4 linked regions of the Ovis aries genome follow. The protein of the gene in region 1 purifies or fractionates together with the protein of each later gene. This does not show direct contact. Links are inferred from orthologs where the notes say so. Each region holds a gene or a part of one and is shown on either strand. Other genes may lie near its edges. The genes, in order: LATS1, SAV1, CUL4A and AMOT.

The links.
Region 2: the proteins of LATS1 (region 1) and SAV1 purify together in Homo sapiens (affinity purification with western blotting; 3 studies listed by BioGRID). This does not show direct contact. The link is inferred for Ovis aries from reciprocal best matches to the Homo sapiens genes LATS1 and SAV1.
Region 3: the proteins of LATS1 (region 1) and CUL4A purify together in Homo sapiens (affinity purification with western blotting; 3 studies listed by BioGRID). This does not show direct contact. The link is inferred for Ovis aries from reciprocal best matches to the Homo sapiens genes LATS1 and CUL4A.
Region 4: the proteins of LATS1 (region 1) and AMOT purify together in Homo sapiens (affinity purification with western blotting; 3 studies listed by BioGRID and IntAct, with this or other methods). This does not show direct contact. The link is inferred for Ovis aries from reciprocal best matches to the Homo sapiens genes LATS1 and AMOT.

Annotation. Positions count from the first base shown.
Region 1 is NC_056061.1:73,960,607-73,964,706, forward strand, and holds part of LATS1 (serine/threonine-protein kinase LATS1), read right to left. Parts: coding exon 3,815-4,100; intron 1,068-3,814; coding exon 885-1,067; intron 691-884; coding exon 584-690; intron 1-583. UniProt on the Homo sapiens protein: Negative regulator of YAP1 in the Hippo signaling pathway that plays a pivotal role in organ size control and tumor suppression by restricting proliferation and promoting apoptosis.
Region 2 is NC_056060.1:41,781,077-41,785,711, forward strand, and holds the start of SAV1 (protein salvador homolog 1), read right to left. Parts: upstream 3,023-4,635; 5' UTR 2,663-3,022; coding exon 2,569-2,662; intron 328-2,568; coding exon 1-327. UniProt on the Homo sapiens protein: Regulator of STK3/MST2 and STK4/MST1 in the Hippo signaling pathway which plays a pivotal role in organ size control and tumor suppression by restricting proliferation and promoting apoptosis.
Region 3 is NC_056063.1:85,900,430-85,904,529, reverse strand, and holds part of CUL4A (cullin-4A), read right to left. Parts: intron 4,028-4,100; coding exon 3,835-4,027; intron 2,669-3,834; coding exon 2,564-2,668; intron 2,364-2,563; coding exon 2,253-2,363; intron 2,179-2,252; coding exon 2,093-2,178; intron 1,542-2,092; coding exon 1,434-1,541; intron 105-1,433; coding exon 1-104. UniProt on the Homo sapiens protein: Core component of multiple cullin-RING-based E3 ubiquitin-protein ligase complexes which mediate the ubiquitination of target proteins. As a scaffold protein may contribute to catalysis through positioning of the substrate and the ubiquitin-conjugating enzyme.
Region 4 is NC_056080.1:121,832,104-121,836,829, reverse strand, and holds the start of AMOT (angiomotin), read right to left. Parts: upstream 3,153-4,726; 5' UTR 1-3,152.

The sequences.
Region 1 (4,100 bases):
GTAGAGTGTCACAGAAGAGACAGTATGTCAAGACACACTCAAAGAATGATTAAAAATGCCCAGGAGTGAAACACAAAGGAGGGAAAGTTGTGAAACATGGGAGAGAAAGAAGGGTATTCCGTACAGAGGGAATGGTATGAACACAGGAACAGAGGAAAGACTGGGACTTTATAGACAAAGCCACGAAAAGGTTTCTTAAATGGGATAATTTATGATCAACATTGTGAGCAGCTTTTCATTTAAATGCTAGGGAGATACAGACATTTGTTAGTAGTTTGGGGCCAGAATGTACGTGCAAGGAAACAAAGCCAGCAGTCAGTAGAAAGAATAAACTGGAATACATCTTCAAAAGGTACTAAAAACTTGTAAGAGGAAGAACCGTGAATGTAGTATATGCATGAGGAAGGATATGGGGGTGGTAAAATCCCACGGGGGAGAGCACACGTGGAATTTCAGTGGGTTCCTATATCCTTACAAGCTCATTCTTTAATTGTAAATTAAGATGCTCTAAATAAAGGACTGATAAAGGTGTATGGTATTGGGGCTTCATAACAATTATTTTGGTACAGATTCTACACCTTACCTTCACTTGTGTTTCAAATGGTGTCTGTGCCAAGAAAGGCGGCTGTCCCACCAACATTTCAAAAAGAATGACACCAACACTCCACCAATCACACAACTGTGTATAGCCTAAAATTAGACACCAAATTTATGGTTATTCATAAGCACTTTTGAAAAAACTGCTCAGAATGAATACAATGAAAATTAATATTAAATCGCCAATTTATACTATAGAATTAATACTTTTATTGTAAACCTGAACCATTAACCATATTCTCCTGGTCTACAGGCACACTGAGATTCTTTATAGGACAAACGTCTACCTGTTCGTAACAAGACTTCAGGCGCAATATAATTAGGAGTCCCAACCAAAGAATGTGCGAGACACCGCTGGTGCTGGCGTGCAGCTCTCCGCTCCAGTGGTTTCAGTCTATCACCACATCGACAGTTAGAGGGGTCACCCCATTCATTACTGAAATCCATGCTATCTTGCCGTGGATGGTCACCTGTATAGTAAAATAAATAAATACATAAATAAAAACAACAATAGTAGACCTATCTGTTTAATCTTTAGACATCCTAAAGTTAACAACACTTCCCCGTGTTGACAAGCTAAGACACAATGTATGCCAAATCACTGACGCTGTACTTATTAATAACTAGAGACTGTACTCTTGAAATACCAAAGGATAAATCTTACACTAAGAAAAATTAGTCTAAGATGTAGTAATTTACTCAACAACAAATGATGACAATAAAAGTTATTGAGTAGGCAGGACCGATAATTTGTTATTCAGGCTGCTCTCCAATTATTCTGGACAAAGTTTCAAACAAATTAGATTTGTGTTTCATTTATTCAGCAAATGACAACATTAACAATTGAAGACAATATTCTTCTCTCAGGCAGGTTATCTGTAGGGGAAAAATATAACAAATACATATGTGAGAACCAGTGATGTGTCCCGCACAGAGAATCAACATGCGGTGATAGGGCAAATGTGCTGAGGTGGCATTTGTTTAAAAAGAAAAAAAGAGGAACTCAACAATATGAAAACCAGACAAGGCATTCTACACACAACAGTACTTGAGAGGACCAGTGTGGTTAGTAAAGGGGAGAATGGAACGAAATGGAGCAGGAGACAGCGCACATGGGTTTTACAAGCAAAAGAAACGGTTTGCCTTTTACTTCAAGTACAGTGAAGATACTGGAATACATATGTGTGTGTGTGTGTGTATTTATACATATGAATATACTTATATATACAGAAGTATTAAATGAAGGCATTTCTTTTAAAACACGTATCAGACCTTTTCATTCTCTTGAAGTGATGAAAAGGTCTGATATATGTTTAAAAAGGAAAACTTTTAACTGCTATATAGAGAATAGAGTATAGGGAGGACAAGGGTGAAAAAGAGACCAGGTAAGAGGCTATTACAGTTAAGTTTGGACTATGATGATAATAGTACAGATGGAGAAAAGTGAACACATTTAGAATCAAGGATGGGTGGTGGTAGTACAATTTACCAAAAAGGAGGGGGAACAAATAGGGAGGGGGAGAAATTAAGAATCGTTGATTAGCAGTCTTAAGTTTGAAAGGCCTATTAGGAATCCGTGTGAAAGGGAGAGGACATTTCTGAAGAGAGATTTCGAAGTCATTGATGCAGAGGTAGTAATTAAAGCTATGACTGGATGAAATCACCTAGGGGAAAAAAAAAATCTGAAATTAACCTATCTGTAATAAACGGGGATGTTTGATTAAAAAATAATTTCTACCCTCCAGTGGAGATTTTCAATCAGAAGACTGGAAGAGAGTCTAAGAATCATATTTTTAAGATAAGCCCCAGATAAGATTCAGGTAAATCTGGGGAGATATTAAATTATGGAGAAAGCAATGGCACCCCACTCCAGTACTCTAGCCTAGAAAATCCCATGGAGGAGCCTGGTAGGCTGCAGTCCATGGGGTCGCTAAGAGTCGGACACGACTGAGCGACTTCACTTTCACTTTCCACTTTTATGCATTGGAGAAGGAAACGGCAGCCCACTCTGGTGTTCTTGCCTGGAGAATGCCAGGGTCAGGGGAGCCTGGTGGGCTGCCGTCTATGGGGTCGCACAGAGTCGGACACGACTGAAGTGACTTAGCAGCAGCAGCAACCTGAACTTTAAAGTAGCTTCAGATATCTTAAGTTCTATCTATTTAATGTAAATCCACTTGTGTTCACAAGAAGCATTGGAGGCAATAATACTTACCTCAGAGGATTGCTGTGAACATTAAATTAGAATATATATAAAGCACCTAGTCATGGTAAGTATTCAACAAATGTTAGATTGACTTACACTTCCATTAGTGCTTGGAGGGATCTTGGTGAGGCAGTGTGGTATAGCAGAAATAACATGGGCCCTGTAAGCAGACAAACCTGGGTTCAAAGCCTAGCCCTTACACTTATTTTCTGTCCGACCATGGGCAAATTTCTAACTTAGCCTCAGGTTCTTCACTCTGCCTCACAATGACATTGTGAGGATTAAAGAGAATCATGCACATCAAGTGTTTAAACAAGCTGTATAACAGTCATACAATGGAATCCTAAAGAGCTGTGAAAATAAATGTTATCATTTATTTATATGCAGGAACACAGATGAACCTCAAACAAATAAAGGAAGTCAACATAGAAGAATACATGTAAAATGATTACATTTAAATAAAGGTTCAAGGGTAGGCAAAATGAAGTAGTATGTTGTTCAGGGATATGCATAAAACTATACAGAAAAGTAAAGAACTGATTATGGAGTTTTGAAATAAAGGTTACCTCTATGGAGGAAAGAAAACGAAGTGATTGTTTAGGGACTTCAAAAATAGTAATAACCTAGTTCTTAAGTTGAGTGGTGTGTAGGGGGCTTCATTTAAAAATTATTTCCAAACTGTCATATGACAGAAAACCACAAAATTCTGTAAAGCAATTATCCTTCAATTAAAAAATTAAAAATTATTTTCAAATTGTTATTTGTCTGACACATTTCACATTAACAAAATGTAAAGAGATTAATTAAAAAATGTTAATGACATTTAGAAATAATTAATTCTAACACACACTTTCATTTTATAAATCTAAGTATCTAAAGGATTCACTCACATTTATCCAATGGAGTTAAGACCTGACCCAGGACTTCTGGCTCCCATCCAGGGATAATATCATCTTATATTTTATTACACTAATAAGTCATATGAATACATACAAATTTTATGATTTTACTCACCACTCTGGTAGTACTTAGAGTCATGTGTCCATCTGAAGCCAGTGCAGAGACCGAAGTCAGTCAATTTAATATGACCATCACGATCGATCAAAATGTTATCAGGTTTAATATCTCTATGAATAAAACCCATTTTATGAACACTTTCGACTGCACAGGTAAGTTCTGCTATGTAGAATCGTGCCAGATTTTCTGGAAAGATGCCCATTCTAATTAATAGGCTCATCATATCACCCCCAGGAATATAGTCCATTACAAAGTATAAATTGTCTTTGTCTTGGAATGAATA
Region 2 (4,635 bases), on another chromosome or scaffold:
AATAATTATCTGAATAATAATATCGGGAACCAGAGTCTCCATTTTCGGGAGCAAAGTTAACTTCTGTTAAAAATGACTGAGAAGAGCCATATTCCCTAGGGACATCTGCTAGACTCCTCGCAAGGTAAGAAGGTGCAGATAATCTGTTGCTTTCTCTTCTCATCATTTCATGAGGTGTTCTTTGAATTGGAGTTCTAAGGAAACTATGGTTTCTTGAAACTATTCCATCTCCAGAAGCTGAAAAGGCATTAGCGCTTGAATCTGGAAGACAGATATCAGTTCGTCTTGGAATTGTTGGACCGTGCCGGATAAAAGAAGGCATAAGATCTATAATAAAACAAAAGAATAAAATGACTAGTAAGTAATATGCTTTTCCAAAGTTGTTTATTTACATCTTACCCCAAAATGAAAAATTTCAATGGACTTAAGAAAACACAATCAGAAACTTTAGCAAAGTATCTGGGTATTTTAAATTGAGGCTGATTGCCATATTCCCACTCAAATGAATTTATAATTTGTATGAATGTGTTATAAGTATGCTCTACCAGATTCAAACATATTCTGCATACTACCAAACATAATATAATGAAACATCAGTAAGTTTAACTACAAAATATGTATTAATGCTCATGAATAAATGTATAAAAATAGTAAACAATCTAACAAATGAATACAGTTACCAGCATAATTTAACATTAGTTTGTTTTGCAGATTGTACTTCATTCCCAAACTCTTCTTTAAGTAAAACACAATTTAAAAAATGAAACAGATCATAATGCTATTCTCAAACATGTAAAGGCGAATTCCTTAAAAAAAAATTTAAAAATTATTAACCTGGCATTCCTACTCTTGGAATTACGTAGCAATAGTACAATACTCAAAAGATGGAAAAACTAAAAATTAAGCTATGAAAATTAAAATTTTTTTTAAATCTCATTTCAAAGAGACACACAAATGTTGAATCAGTTCAAAAACAAACAAACAAACAAAAAACGCCAAGTCTAAAACCATTACAATTCAAAACAATTAAGAACAATTACAATTCAAAACAGAAGAAAACAGGGCAATGGCTTTAAGGGTACAGTACTTCTGAATATAAAACTTAAATAAATACCTTAAGCATTCCTGGTTAGAAAGCAAACACCTTTAAAACAAGAAGAAAACTGGATCTGGAGACCATTTTATTAGTTCACTAAGTAGACAGTATCAGAGGGCACGCATATTAATATGCAACAGAAGCCAAACACACAAAAATTAGTAACCGAATAAACAAGGTTCAACATTTGATGAAACTAAAACAAAATACTATATATCAAAAGTTATTTGCTAAAAGGTGTGGCAAACATATTTCATGATTTTAAGGAATGTTGAATAACACTGTTATCTGAAGCTAACTGCAAGCTAACCTAAACTTGGCCAAAATCCTAAGAGAATATGTAAATGAAAAATAAACTATTAAAAAAAGTTTTTAAAAATCAAGTTTCAGGTTACTGATGTACCCATCTGATCTGTTCTGTAAGAAAGCATTGCAAATACAAGGATAAATCTGGAAGGTTGATGATGTGGTTATAATGGGAAAACATGCTCTCCACCCCTTTTTGTGTGATCTTGGGCAAATATTACCAGGAACCTCTATGAAAAGCTTTCCCAATTACAATATGAGGTAATGCTTAAGTCACAAAGTCACCAGCTTCCAAGAAGGAAACTTAACAAAGGACCCAGCATTTAGTATGAACACCAAAAAACTTGCTCCTTACCTCACAAATGTTCTGAACACATAAGCAAGAATTAAAAACGTAAAAGATTCAGGAGGAAAATTAGAGTCAAATACTTAAATTGAAGATAAAGTGCCAGCGAAATGCACTCTATTAAAAAATGTTTATAACCACACACACAACTTTTTTCGTAATTTTCCCCAAAGTATGATGGAAATTATTTTGAGTCTTTGGCGGATTTCTAGGAGGTTTTATTTGAAGAAATTCTCATGAACACAGCCAAACACATATAATTTTGGCTCTTCAACCCTGAGATCTACAACTGAGGAGGCTTTTTGGGCAGCAGCTACAATAGCGACGGTCAGCTTTCACCTCCGGACGTCATCATCCAATAGCTGGACTAAGAATTCTACTCAAGCGTTCGCACAACTACGAGCAGAGCAAGTGACACCCACAGTGTTTGCAAACACAATGCAAATCTAGACGTCACAAGAGGAAAACGTGCCCCAGTGTAATCCCTTTAATTCCTACAGAACCAGCGGATGAGCAATTTGTTTCCTAAAGAATATCTTTCTTCCAGTAATCAAAACCAACAACATAGTTTCAAGAAGGGAAGTCTGTGGATTTTGACGGGCGGGACAGGGGGCGGGGGGTGGGAACAGAGGTGGACTAACTTAAGTTTTTTACTCTTTATCAGCTTTCAAACAACGAACATCACTCCAGGCATTAAAAAAAAAAAAAAATCACAGAGGCCAAAAGGAAAGAGAAGCCGCGGGGAGCGGCGTCGGACACCCAGCCCGGGTCCCCCGCGGCCGCCCAGGCCAGGTGTGGGCGCACCCCGCCCGACACTCACTCCGCAGCAGAGGCGACGTCTCCTTCTTCACGTACTTCCCCTGCACCTCGGCCGGCTTGGACACTTCGTTTTTGGTTTTCTTCCGGGACAGCATCCTTGACCACGAGGCCCCAGGCCACGCCAAGCAGCCGCCCTAAGGCTCCGCGCCGGGCGCCGGGTGTCCCCGCCGCCACCTCCGCCGGCGTCGCCGCCTCCTTCCCTCCCGAGCCGCCGCCGCCGCCGCCGCCTCTCCGCAGCCCGGGGTTGCCCACAAGGACTGCCGCATGTTCGGGGCGCTAAGCGCGCCGGTCACCGCTCAGTCGCTTGTCAGTTCCTTCCCGGAAGTCTGCCGGCTCCGCGTCGTTGCCCGAGGACTCCGAGAGAAGAGCCAGGAACGCCCGGCCAGGGCCATGGTCCGCTGCTGACCACCTAGTAACCGCTACTGCTGCCGCCGCTGTCGCCGCCTACGTCCCGTAAACTTTCCCTGCGGCCGCTGGGAATTCTGGGAAACTCGACGCAGCGCGAGCGCCGCCGCCCCTCCCCCACCCGCTCCTGGGCGTGGCTCGGGCCAGAGGACGCGGGGCCGCCCTCTCAGCTAACGGGTCGTCCCAGCGTCTTCAGGAGGAGGAGCGGCTGCTTTCACTCCCGCTCGGCGAGGAGCAGGTCTGGTGGGCACTTTGGACGAAACGTGCCAGACTGAGCGCAGGAGGCCGTGGCGCGCTCCTGCAGAGGAACCTCCTCTACCCGCAGATTTTTCTCTCAGGACCTTGAGGGAGCTGGTAATGCCCCCAAGATGCATTCGCGTCCTCGGCCACGAAAGAGGACGTCCCTCTTGGAGTTTTGGGGGCTGGTAAATTCAAGCCCGTAATAGCACAGAACGCCTGTAGAGTCGAAGGAACGCCACCCTTACGCTAATGCTGCAGCCAAAGAAATCTAGATCTTTTTGTTGAAAACACCCCGTTAGTGCCAGGGAGTGTGCGTCTTTCTGATAAAGGAAAACACGGAGGAAGAAGCCGAAGTGGTGTTTCTGTTATCTGTGATGCAAGATAAATTTGATATTAGCGTGATTTATTTATCACTATCATTATCCACCATATATTTCCTCTTGGAAATATGGAGTTGTCAATGGAAAAAAAATAACCTCTCATGGGAATACAAAAGAGTTTTATTTGAGCCGAACTGGGAAATACAAGTCCAGAAGACAGCTTCTCAGGTAACTCTGAGGACATCCTGAGGGGAAGCATGGTTTTCAGCATAGTTTTGTCAGAACAAAACATTCAATAAGTCAGGAATATATTCCTTCAAGGTTTCAAAAAAAAAAAATCAGTTTGGAACACACGAAGTTATTATTGCCTTGGTACGTGGAAAGGGAGTCATCCCTGAAGCAGTAAAAGCATTGGCATCCCAGGAAGGGAGACATTGAATTTTTGTCTTTATCATGGACAGCCTTGTTAAGTGTTAGTTGCCCAGTCACCAGATTACTTCTAAGTTAATGAGCCTGTTAATAAAGCAGATGTACACTATGTGTTGGATAATCCACAAACAGGGCATTTTAGCTAAGGTAAAAACTTGTGTGCAATCCAGAGTGACTTCTTCAGACCTCAGTATGTGAAAATTTCTTTCATAGAGTTAAATACTCCTATTTTAGATTTCTTTCTGTTTTTGTTTTTGAGAATTTTGAGCACTAAAGGTCAAGACCTGGGATTTTTAATCTAAAAGAAACCCTGCTTTCTTCTATTTAACTTAGCAAAGGTGCAAAATGATCAGGATAACATTTGAGAAATAAGATGGGATCCACCTCTAGTGACCAAATTGAGGCTTTGACAATGGAAAGTGCTTTCTTTCCCTAAGATAGGAACCATCTTACAAGAGATGTAAACAACTAACAAAAGGCAAGGAATTTTCTACTTACACAAGATTGTGTGTGTGTGTTAGTTGCTTAGTCATGTCTGACTCTTTGCAACCCCATAGACTGTAGCCCACCAGGCCCCTCTGTCCATGGGATTCTCCAGGCAAGAACACTGGAGTGGGTTGCCGCTTCCTACTCCAAAAGGAACTATAGAGAAAAAATGAAGTTGCTCAGTCATG
Region 3 (4,100 bases), on another chromosome or scaffold:
TCGGCCTTCAGCACCGCGTGGCCCAGCGTCGTCTGCCACTGCAGCTTCCGGCCGCTGTGCTTGCCCAGATAGAACGTCTTGAACACCTCCTGCAGCTTGATCATCTGTCAGCGGAGGAGGGCGAGCGTGACTGTGCTGCGCACGCTCACTCTGACACTGCCAGCGGCTCAGCGTCCGAGTTCCTAAGCCACCGCTGGGCCGAATGCGGCCTGCTCCGTGTCCTGACGGCGGCCCACCAGCGCGCAGCCCCGTGCTGCCACCATTCCAACAGCTCCTGCCAGGGGCGGTGGGGCCTGCCCCCGCTCCCGAGCCCCGCAGGCTTCCTCGGCCCCCTGCAGCCTCTGAGCCCAGGAGCGCCGGTGGTCCGCCTGGTCAGAGCCCGTGCTCTTGCCCGGCTGCGCAAGCTGGGACGACCCTCGCTGCCCCCGCTCCCGAGCCCCGCAGGCTTCCTCGGCCCCCTGCAGCCTCTGAGCCCAGGAGCGCCGGTGGTCCGCCTGGTCAGAGCCCGTGCTCTTGCCCGGCTGCGCAAGCTGGGACGACCCTCGCTGCACTCCTCCTCTCCCAGGGAAGGCCCTGGGACTCTGGCCTGTTCCTGCCATCCCTCCACGCCCGGCCAGTCCTGCAGCGCCGGCACGCGTGTGCACGCACACCCCAGGGGGAGGGGGGAGACGAGTGTCAACCAGCAGGCACAGACGGGGCGTGGAGGTTTTCCAGGAAAGAGTGTCAGCTTGCACGGTCACACCCGCCCTGGGAGCGTGAGCGCGCCAGGCAGAGTGTGGGGAGGGGTGCAGAGCCGTCCCATCGCGTGGGGAGATGTGGGAAGGGGCGCTGAGTCTGGGACAGCCGTGACAGACCCGGGGTGGGGGGGATTGGAGACACAGGCTGGAGGCTGAGAGGGACGGAGCTGGGGCTTCCAGGGAACATGTGCGTTCGGGGTACAGGCAAGAGGAAAAGGAGGAGAGGACGCGACAGAGACTGCCTGGGGCCAGAAACGGGGGACTCCAGGAGACTCTGCCCTGCGAACAGGAAGGGTGGGTCCGGGCAGCAGCACATCTGCCCGGGTGCCAGGCCCTGGGCCTAGCTGTCGCCCCGGAGGCCCTGGGCCCACGCCGGCAGGCACACCCCATCCCCCTCACAGGGCCCGTCTCAGCCACACAACGCCGTCCCTGCCCTCTCAGGCCCTGGCTCTGGTATGTCGGGTGGGAGCATCAGCCAGCCAAGGAAGCTCGAGGCTCCCACACAGGAGCTTTTTAAACCAGCGCCTCCGTGACAGGCAGCCGGCAGAGACAGACCAGGAGCGCCCGCTGTGAACGCTGCTCCGAGAAGACGCGGATGGTCAGGGCTCAGCGAGCGTGGCTGCCACGCTCCCTGCGGTGCGTGGGGCCTGGAGCAGGAGCGCGTGGCAGCAGGGTCTGGCTCCCGAGCGCGCTCACCTCTGGAGTCAGGTGCACCTCCACGGGCGTGTACGTCGGCCAGTAGCCCATGGTCAGGATGTTCACGGTCAGGTCTATGGAGCCCGGGTCACTCTGGTTCTGCATGTACTGCACAGACAGGAAGCCGGGACAGACGGCCACTTTAGAGCAGCGCCCAGAACTGACCTCCAGAAACCGATGACCCCATTTCCCAGCTACAGCTCACCTTGCGTTTCATTTGTTCGAGCCCCTGGAACATAGCCCACTGAGGCCACACGCCCTGGTCAAACGCCACTGGGAACGTCTCTCTTCACTTCTGCCCCAGATACGGGCCATTAAGCTCATTTAAGCCAGAGTTCCAAGTGCACTTTTAGGAATTAGTTTTCTTTTCTTGTTTTCCAACTGCGCCACACAACCGGCAGAACCCTAGTTCCCAGACTGAGGACTGAATCTAGGCCCTCGGTAGTGGAAACCTGGGGTCCTAACCACTGCACCAACAGGGAATCCCGGGGGGTTATGTTTCTTTTTCATTTTGAAGTGTTCTGAGTACGTGGAGCATCAACAGCGTGATTTTTAAAGACGAGGATTTTACACAGGTCACATACTTACATGCAAAATCATTTCACAGAATCTGAAATAGCGTGTTTTTAAAAGAGCTGTTTCACTTGAACACAACTTGCCTGCTTGAAATGAACCATGATGTCCTTGGAGAGCTCCATGTCCTTGAACATGCCCTCCAGCTTGCTGGTGAATGCGGCCCCGCACTCTGCACAAAGCGGACGGCGGGTGAGCATCAGGAAGGCCCTGAGTGGGGCGCTCACCCCCACCCCCGGCGCTTACCGTGCTTCAGCTTCGACAGCATGGATTTCTCAGCGTCGACGGAGGCACTTTTTCCAACCAGGAGTCTTTTTGCTAGATCTTTTTTGTAAAAAGCTTCAAACACGTCTTTACCTATTTATAAGCAAGAACCATGTGAGACATTTAACAGTTGCCGTCAAAATGTTCACCTCAGCTTCTGACTCGGCCCAAGAGGCGACCACGCGCGTGTGCCAGCCAGCTCTTCCCGCTGAATCCCCACAAACCCCCTTGCTGCGCGCACAGCGGCTGCCACCGCGGTCCCATGCCGCGGACGCGCTGGGGGCCCAGCTCACCGTGGATGAACCGGAACAGGATCATGACTTTGTCCAGCATCCTCTCCAGCTCCTCGTCTGTCGCCTCCTTGTTCCCTGCTCTGAGCTTTGAGTCTACGTGCTTTGCTGTAGGAGAGGATATCATTTGAAAAATAAGCATTCACTCCACAATACGATACATATTCTAAATACAAAAAGGAAGGTCTTTAATTTCTCCAAGAAAAAACACTTGGAACCTTCCCAAACTGACATGTTATTTTGTAACAAAAAGGCAAACACCTGATGTTCTAAGATCTGTGCTTTCCAGGCTCGGAGAACACACCCCGCGGTCCCACACTGGAGCTTCCTGGCACACGACCGCTCCAGAAGCCGGAGCAGCCCGCCAGCAGGATTTGCGGAGACGTGCGGGCAAGGCTTCCTTACGCGGGAGCACTCCCCTCAGGGCTGACCCCTCAGGCACAGAGTGGGTCCGCCTGCCCTCCTGCTTTCGAGACGCACAGGCTGCCTCGACCTGCCCAAAGGAAGGGAGAACCCGAGCTCCCCAGAGTCCGAATGTGTCTTTAGAGAAACCACAGTCTATAAAGTGGCACAAAGGCCAAATCAAACAGGTGCATTTGAACGTCTCCTTCCGCTGGCTCGTCTTAGCCCCTCCCCTCATTGTCTTGATTCTGAGCGCCACAAATGTACGCACTTGTAACCTCCACTTTCCCACCAGGCGCCTTCACCAGCCCACACCGGAGCTCAGCCCTATGCCACGGCCTCACACCTCCCTGCCCACTGCCTCTGGACAATTCCAAAAAAACTGCCTCACTGATGAGACTCCATGAATCCTGGTATATTTTGATGTTATCAGGAAATAAGTATACAAAGGGATCATTTGAAAGAGTGCCAATCAATCGCACCACATTTAACACTGACTGGGGGATACAAGGTCGAGCCTGAACAGCCATCTCCTGTCAGGCGCTGTCGAGAGGCCAACAGTCACCCTCCTAACATTCCTACACGACAAACCCAGGCCAGCTTCTGGGCAGGAAGAGCTCTGGGGCCGGGGCCGTGCAGGCGAGGAGAAATCTGCTGGTCTCATCCTGCTCCTGAGACGTCAGGCTCCATCTTGTCACAAAACCATCACCACACGCTCCCAATGGAAACATCACGTGCTCACATATGGATTCAGCACACAGAAGCGCACGCTGGTGTCTGTGGCTTCCGGAAAGGCGGCCCTCTCAGGCCCGCCCACCCTCCCCGTGCGGCGCGTGCTCCAGGGGAAGCCTGTGCGCGAGCCTGCTCCCTACCGATCAGCTCCGCGGGCTTGTTGGGCCGCTTGTTGATGAATGTCTCGAAGGACTCTTTCATCAGGTTGATGAACTTCTCGCTCCGCTGGAAGCACACGTCGATCACGTGGTCCACTCGGTCCTTGAAGTCCAGCAGGTCCTGAACCATGTCTTTGTCTTTCTCTGGATTGATGACGATCGTTGTCCCAAAAGTCTGCAAAACACACCAGCTCAGCCACAGGGCTCCAACGCCGCAGTTCCTCTCCCGCTACCAAGCGACCGTGATG
Region 4 (4,726 bases), on another chromosome or scaffold:
AGCTTGTTTAATGCCCCCCTTAGTTCTTGGGACCAAATTCTAACCTTTGACTTAGGGGTGGGACCCTAGATTTTGGACCAAAGTCCACAAAAGGAAGCAAAGAACGAAGAAGTAAGCAAGACTAAAGACAACACGTCATAGTAAACCGGCAACAAAAATTCCTGGGGACAGGAAATCAATGGAGCACAATTCTAAACAAATTGGTTTAGTCCCAAGCTAATTAACTTGTCAAGCAGATCTCCAAACCCCCTGAATCCATGAGGGAAAGAGGTGATGTAATAGGAGATTTGGAACATTTACCCATTTACCATCCTAAAAGGCTCAGCTACGACCACACACACCTCTCTCCACTCCTTTCAGTAGGTTTAAGCTGGGCTTAATGGGTGCAAAGGACAATTTCTTCCAGACAGACCCTAAGAATAAACTGTTCTCATGCATTCCAAATGCTCAGTCTCCATGGAAGAGGCTACCTGGTCACAAACATTTCTCAAGAGGGACTATATCATCAACACTTCCTCATTGGTAACACCCCCACCCCAACAAAACAAAACAATTTCTAGCCATCCTGGGAACTTTGGGGCACTTTGGTGGGGAGAAAGGAAAAGAAACCTTAAGAAAGGAGTAGGAGAGGGTGAGAAACAACTCTTGTCCCCAAAATGGAAAAAAGGCCTTAAAAAAGCTGATCAAAGGACGAGAAGGGGGATGGGGGAGAAGGGCTGCTTAATTACAAAGACACCCTTTTAAAGAAGGCACAGGCCCTGGGAGAGGGCTCTTAGGAGAGGCACAGAAGCAGATGTACCCACTTAGAATTCTGGCACTCAACGGAACCTCAAGGTCATAGCATCCATCCCTCTGCTTTCTGAATAGACTGTTCCTAAGGCATTCTAGAAAGAGACTGATTCGGTCTTTACAAAACTTCATAAAAAGCAACTCCACAAAACACCTTGGTAATGCATTAGTCTAATAAATCCTACTTCATAAACCAGAAATGAGATTTCAATTTCCAAATCCAAAACAGTATTGAATGTGAATTTTTAAATTCCCTAAAATCTTTTACATAGGTGAACAGATCTTTCAAGCAAAAGTTATTTTACATATAAGCATGGTTAGAGATTTACTTCATATCTAGACCATGAAGTAAGAAAAAGTGCTTTCAATTTTACGGAGCCACAGACTTTTCCAAAGAAAGAAGTATCTTAAAATGAAGTATGATGTAGTGCCAGAAAGTGTCTGTAAATGACACTGGATAAACCCATACAGAATAGCTGGAACCTGAGTTATCATCTGTAAATAGATGCAAGTACTCTACAACCACCTGGCTATTAAAATGTCCCAGGCCAGTTACAAAATGTAGTTTCGTCAGGCCAACTTTTCCTTCTCAGTTGATCTGAAATATGATAGCCTTTAAAATTGTCACCCTGTAGCATTCCTTCCCTCCTTCCTGCTTTCTTTTCCCCCATTGAAATCAACTAATTAAATCAGGTAAAAATATAAGAAAATAATTTATTCCCCAATAAGCAATGTGTTGCAGACATCTTGGTAATTGGTCTTTGAACACCACCATTCTTGTAAGTTTGCCATGTTTGCTAGATTGGAGGTTAGGTGGGAGATGGGTGAAGATTTATCTAGCATCCAAAATGGTATTTCAAACTGTTCTTAGCTACTAAATGAGGGTGCTGAAAGGTCTAACTCAGAAAGCTTCACAAAGGCTGTTCTGAGAAAGGACTTTTCACAAAGCCTAGTTCAAGGAGACTTAAATACCCTTAGCCCCACATTAGGGAAGATTATGGTGACTAATTATCTTCCTTTCTGAATGGGAGAAGAGGGTTATATTTTTTAAAGCTTTAATCTGCCTCCCAATTTCCACTCTTCATGGGGGTGGGGGAGGACAGCGAAGAGGAAGGAAAACTAAATCAGATACTCCAAGGTGTCAGAAAATCCCTTCTAAAATACATGTTAGAGATTGGAAATGCCATTTCTCACAAACTGTCCTTTCCTCTCTCATTTAATCGTATGTAGTCCTTTACTGCAAATTACTATTAAATTATTACTAGCAGCAATTAACCAGGGATTGCTCAGTCTACAGAGACTGTCACTTTGTCTCTCACTTTTCTTCTCTTCATTGGCTTACCCTGATAAAGCTGTTCTGATCCTGAAGCATCTGTGTACAGCGACCCAGCCTTGGGACCCTCAAGATACCTGCATATCAGGCAAAACTAATTACTAATATCCATAACGCAAATAAGGGGCAACCCTTTCTTCATGACCACACACACACCTTATACCTAAAAGAGTATAGCACTGTAGATTACTCCTCCAGGCTAAGATTTCAAGAATTCACAGCCCCGGGGAAGAGGAGTGTGAGCTCCCACCCCAACCCCAAGCATTTAGGAAAAATGCATCTAACAATCTGAGATAAACCCAGACATTCCAGATGATCTAAACGTAGACTTCAAGTTCCCTCTGCTCTTTAGTTCCTTTTGTGTTTAATTACCTAGAGACCTACAAGGACCCCAGAAGGCAAGAAAGTAAAAGTGCCATCAAATAGTGGTACCCATTCGCATCTCCGTAGGACGGGAAAAGGAGCGCACACTCTTTAACCTATTTAACTTACTGCACATCCCGGAAAACTTGTGGCCAGCTGCAAAGAAAGTAGAACACAGGCATCCCCACGCAAATCTAGATCGACTCACTCACGCAGAGGTTATGATCAAGTTCACGCCACCACGGATTCCTGCCCCATTTCCCCGCGAAAAGTAACCACGCGTCTCCTACCCCTGAAGGAAACGAAGACAAGGTGACGACTCTGCTCGCTCAAGTGGCTTCGGTCCCGGGCCAGAGGCCAGGGGTAGGCAGGAGGGAAGCCCCAGCTCCCGGCTGCTCCCCTCCTCACCGCTCCGTCCGGTCTCTCCTTGGTGGCACTGGACAGGCAGGATACCGGGCCGGCGGGTGGAGCAGCGGATGGTCGGAGGCGAGACAGACTGGAGGTGGGGGTGGAGGGGGCGCTGAGAACTAAGAGAAGATGAGGCGAAAGGGAGCGGAGATGGAGGAATAAATCAGGAGGTCTACCAGCTTAGGCAGCTAGAAAGCTCCTCAGAAGGAAGGGGCGTGACTGCGATGAAGGCAGCTCCTGGGCAAAGGAGCTAGGAGCTAGGGGAGGGGGAGAACGGGTGGCTTTTCTTCTTGCGGTGAGCGGCTAGGACCGCCCAGAAGCCGGGGCGGTGGGGGTGGGCGGGGAGCTGGGTGGACTAGGCAGTGGGGCGGAGAAGAGGGCGGGGAAAGAAGGGGGGGAGTCGGCCAGGACCCCGGGCTGGGGGTGGGGGGGCGGAAGAGGGGCGGAGCTAGGGGGCGGGGAAGTTCAAACAATTGAACGCCCGGGTCCGATAGCTCCGACGAAAGCGGGGACGCTTGCTCTGGTAGCCCACGAACGTGGCACGATTCGGTTATAGTAGCCCCGAGTCTACGCAAAGACTGGCTGGGAGGAAGGAAAGACTTGTGCAAAGACTCCAAAAATAGTGTGCGGCAACAGCGGAGCGGAGTCGCGTGGGAGAGCTAGTGCCACTCCCCGCCCCATAGCGGGAGGAAGAAAAACAAATAACAGAAATGCTGAAAAGCAGCTTCTCGAGAAGCTTGCTTAAAATAATTCAGGAAGGAGCAGCGGTCCTTCGTTTTCCTTCCCCTCTTGCTTCCTATGACCAGGAGGCCCCCACCCAGGTCACAGCTCCGCGAGACACCCTCCTTTCTTCCTCCACTCCCCCTAGCCACCCCTTTCCTCCCCCGCGCCACCCTGCGTTCCCGCCCCCTCCCGGCGGCGGGCCGCGCTGGCAACTGGGGTGTCGTGGGCGGTGCTCTGCCGAGTCTCCGCCTCCTGGGCGGGCTGAGAAGGCCGGTCTGGGCGGGGCCGGCCTAGAGGAATAAATCCCGCCCACCAGTCTTTGACGGCTACCGGTTGGCGAATCCTGGCCCAAGGTTCTCTTATGATTGGTCACTTGCGTCGTCGCTCGGATTCTTTGGTCCCACCCGCCCTCAAAATTAATAAAACTAAACAAGAGGCTATTGTCTTGCTCTCGGTTCTCTCGCAGCTACTGCCGAGAAAAGAAAGATGAGACGCTTGGTTTTTCTGTCTCCTAAGAGAGTACGACAATGTGTCGGCTGGATCCGGTACACCTTCCCGGCCCTCCGGGAATAGGTAACTTTTCTTCCCCCTTAATTCATTAGGCCCAAAGCGGGGAAAAAAGTATGAGAAGTCTCAATGTGGTGTTCACATTTCCCGGCTGCGAAAAAATTGGTATTGCTTGAAAAACACAGCCTGGTTGAGAACAGCTTCCTGAGACACTGAAAATCAACCATTTTAAGCCGGGAAAGGAAAGCACAAAGAAATAGCAGGAAAGATGAAATTCGGAACTAAAGGAAGAACTCCTTCAGACTCAAGCACTCAGTAGCTAGTTGTGCGACGACTTCGGTTAAGTTCCTTAATTTTTCCCATCTGTAAATAAAGGCTATGAGACATGTCCTGTTAACCTAATGGCACTGGTATATGAAAAATAAAACGAATTGTATGTGAAAACTGTAAATCACAAGGCACTCCACACGTGTATATGTTCCTACTTGTTTCTGTCACACGTGGAGATTCTCCACATGTGTTTGGGAATCATATTCAGCTCATATGTTTTAAGCATTTATAGCCAAGGTGTGTAGGTTTTGTGGCTTTTTTTTTTTCTTCTTT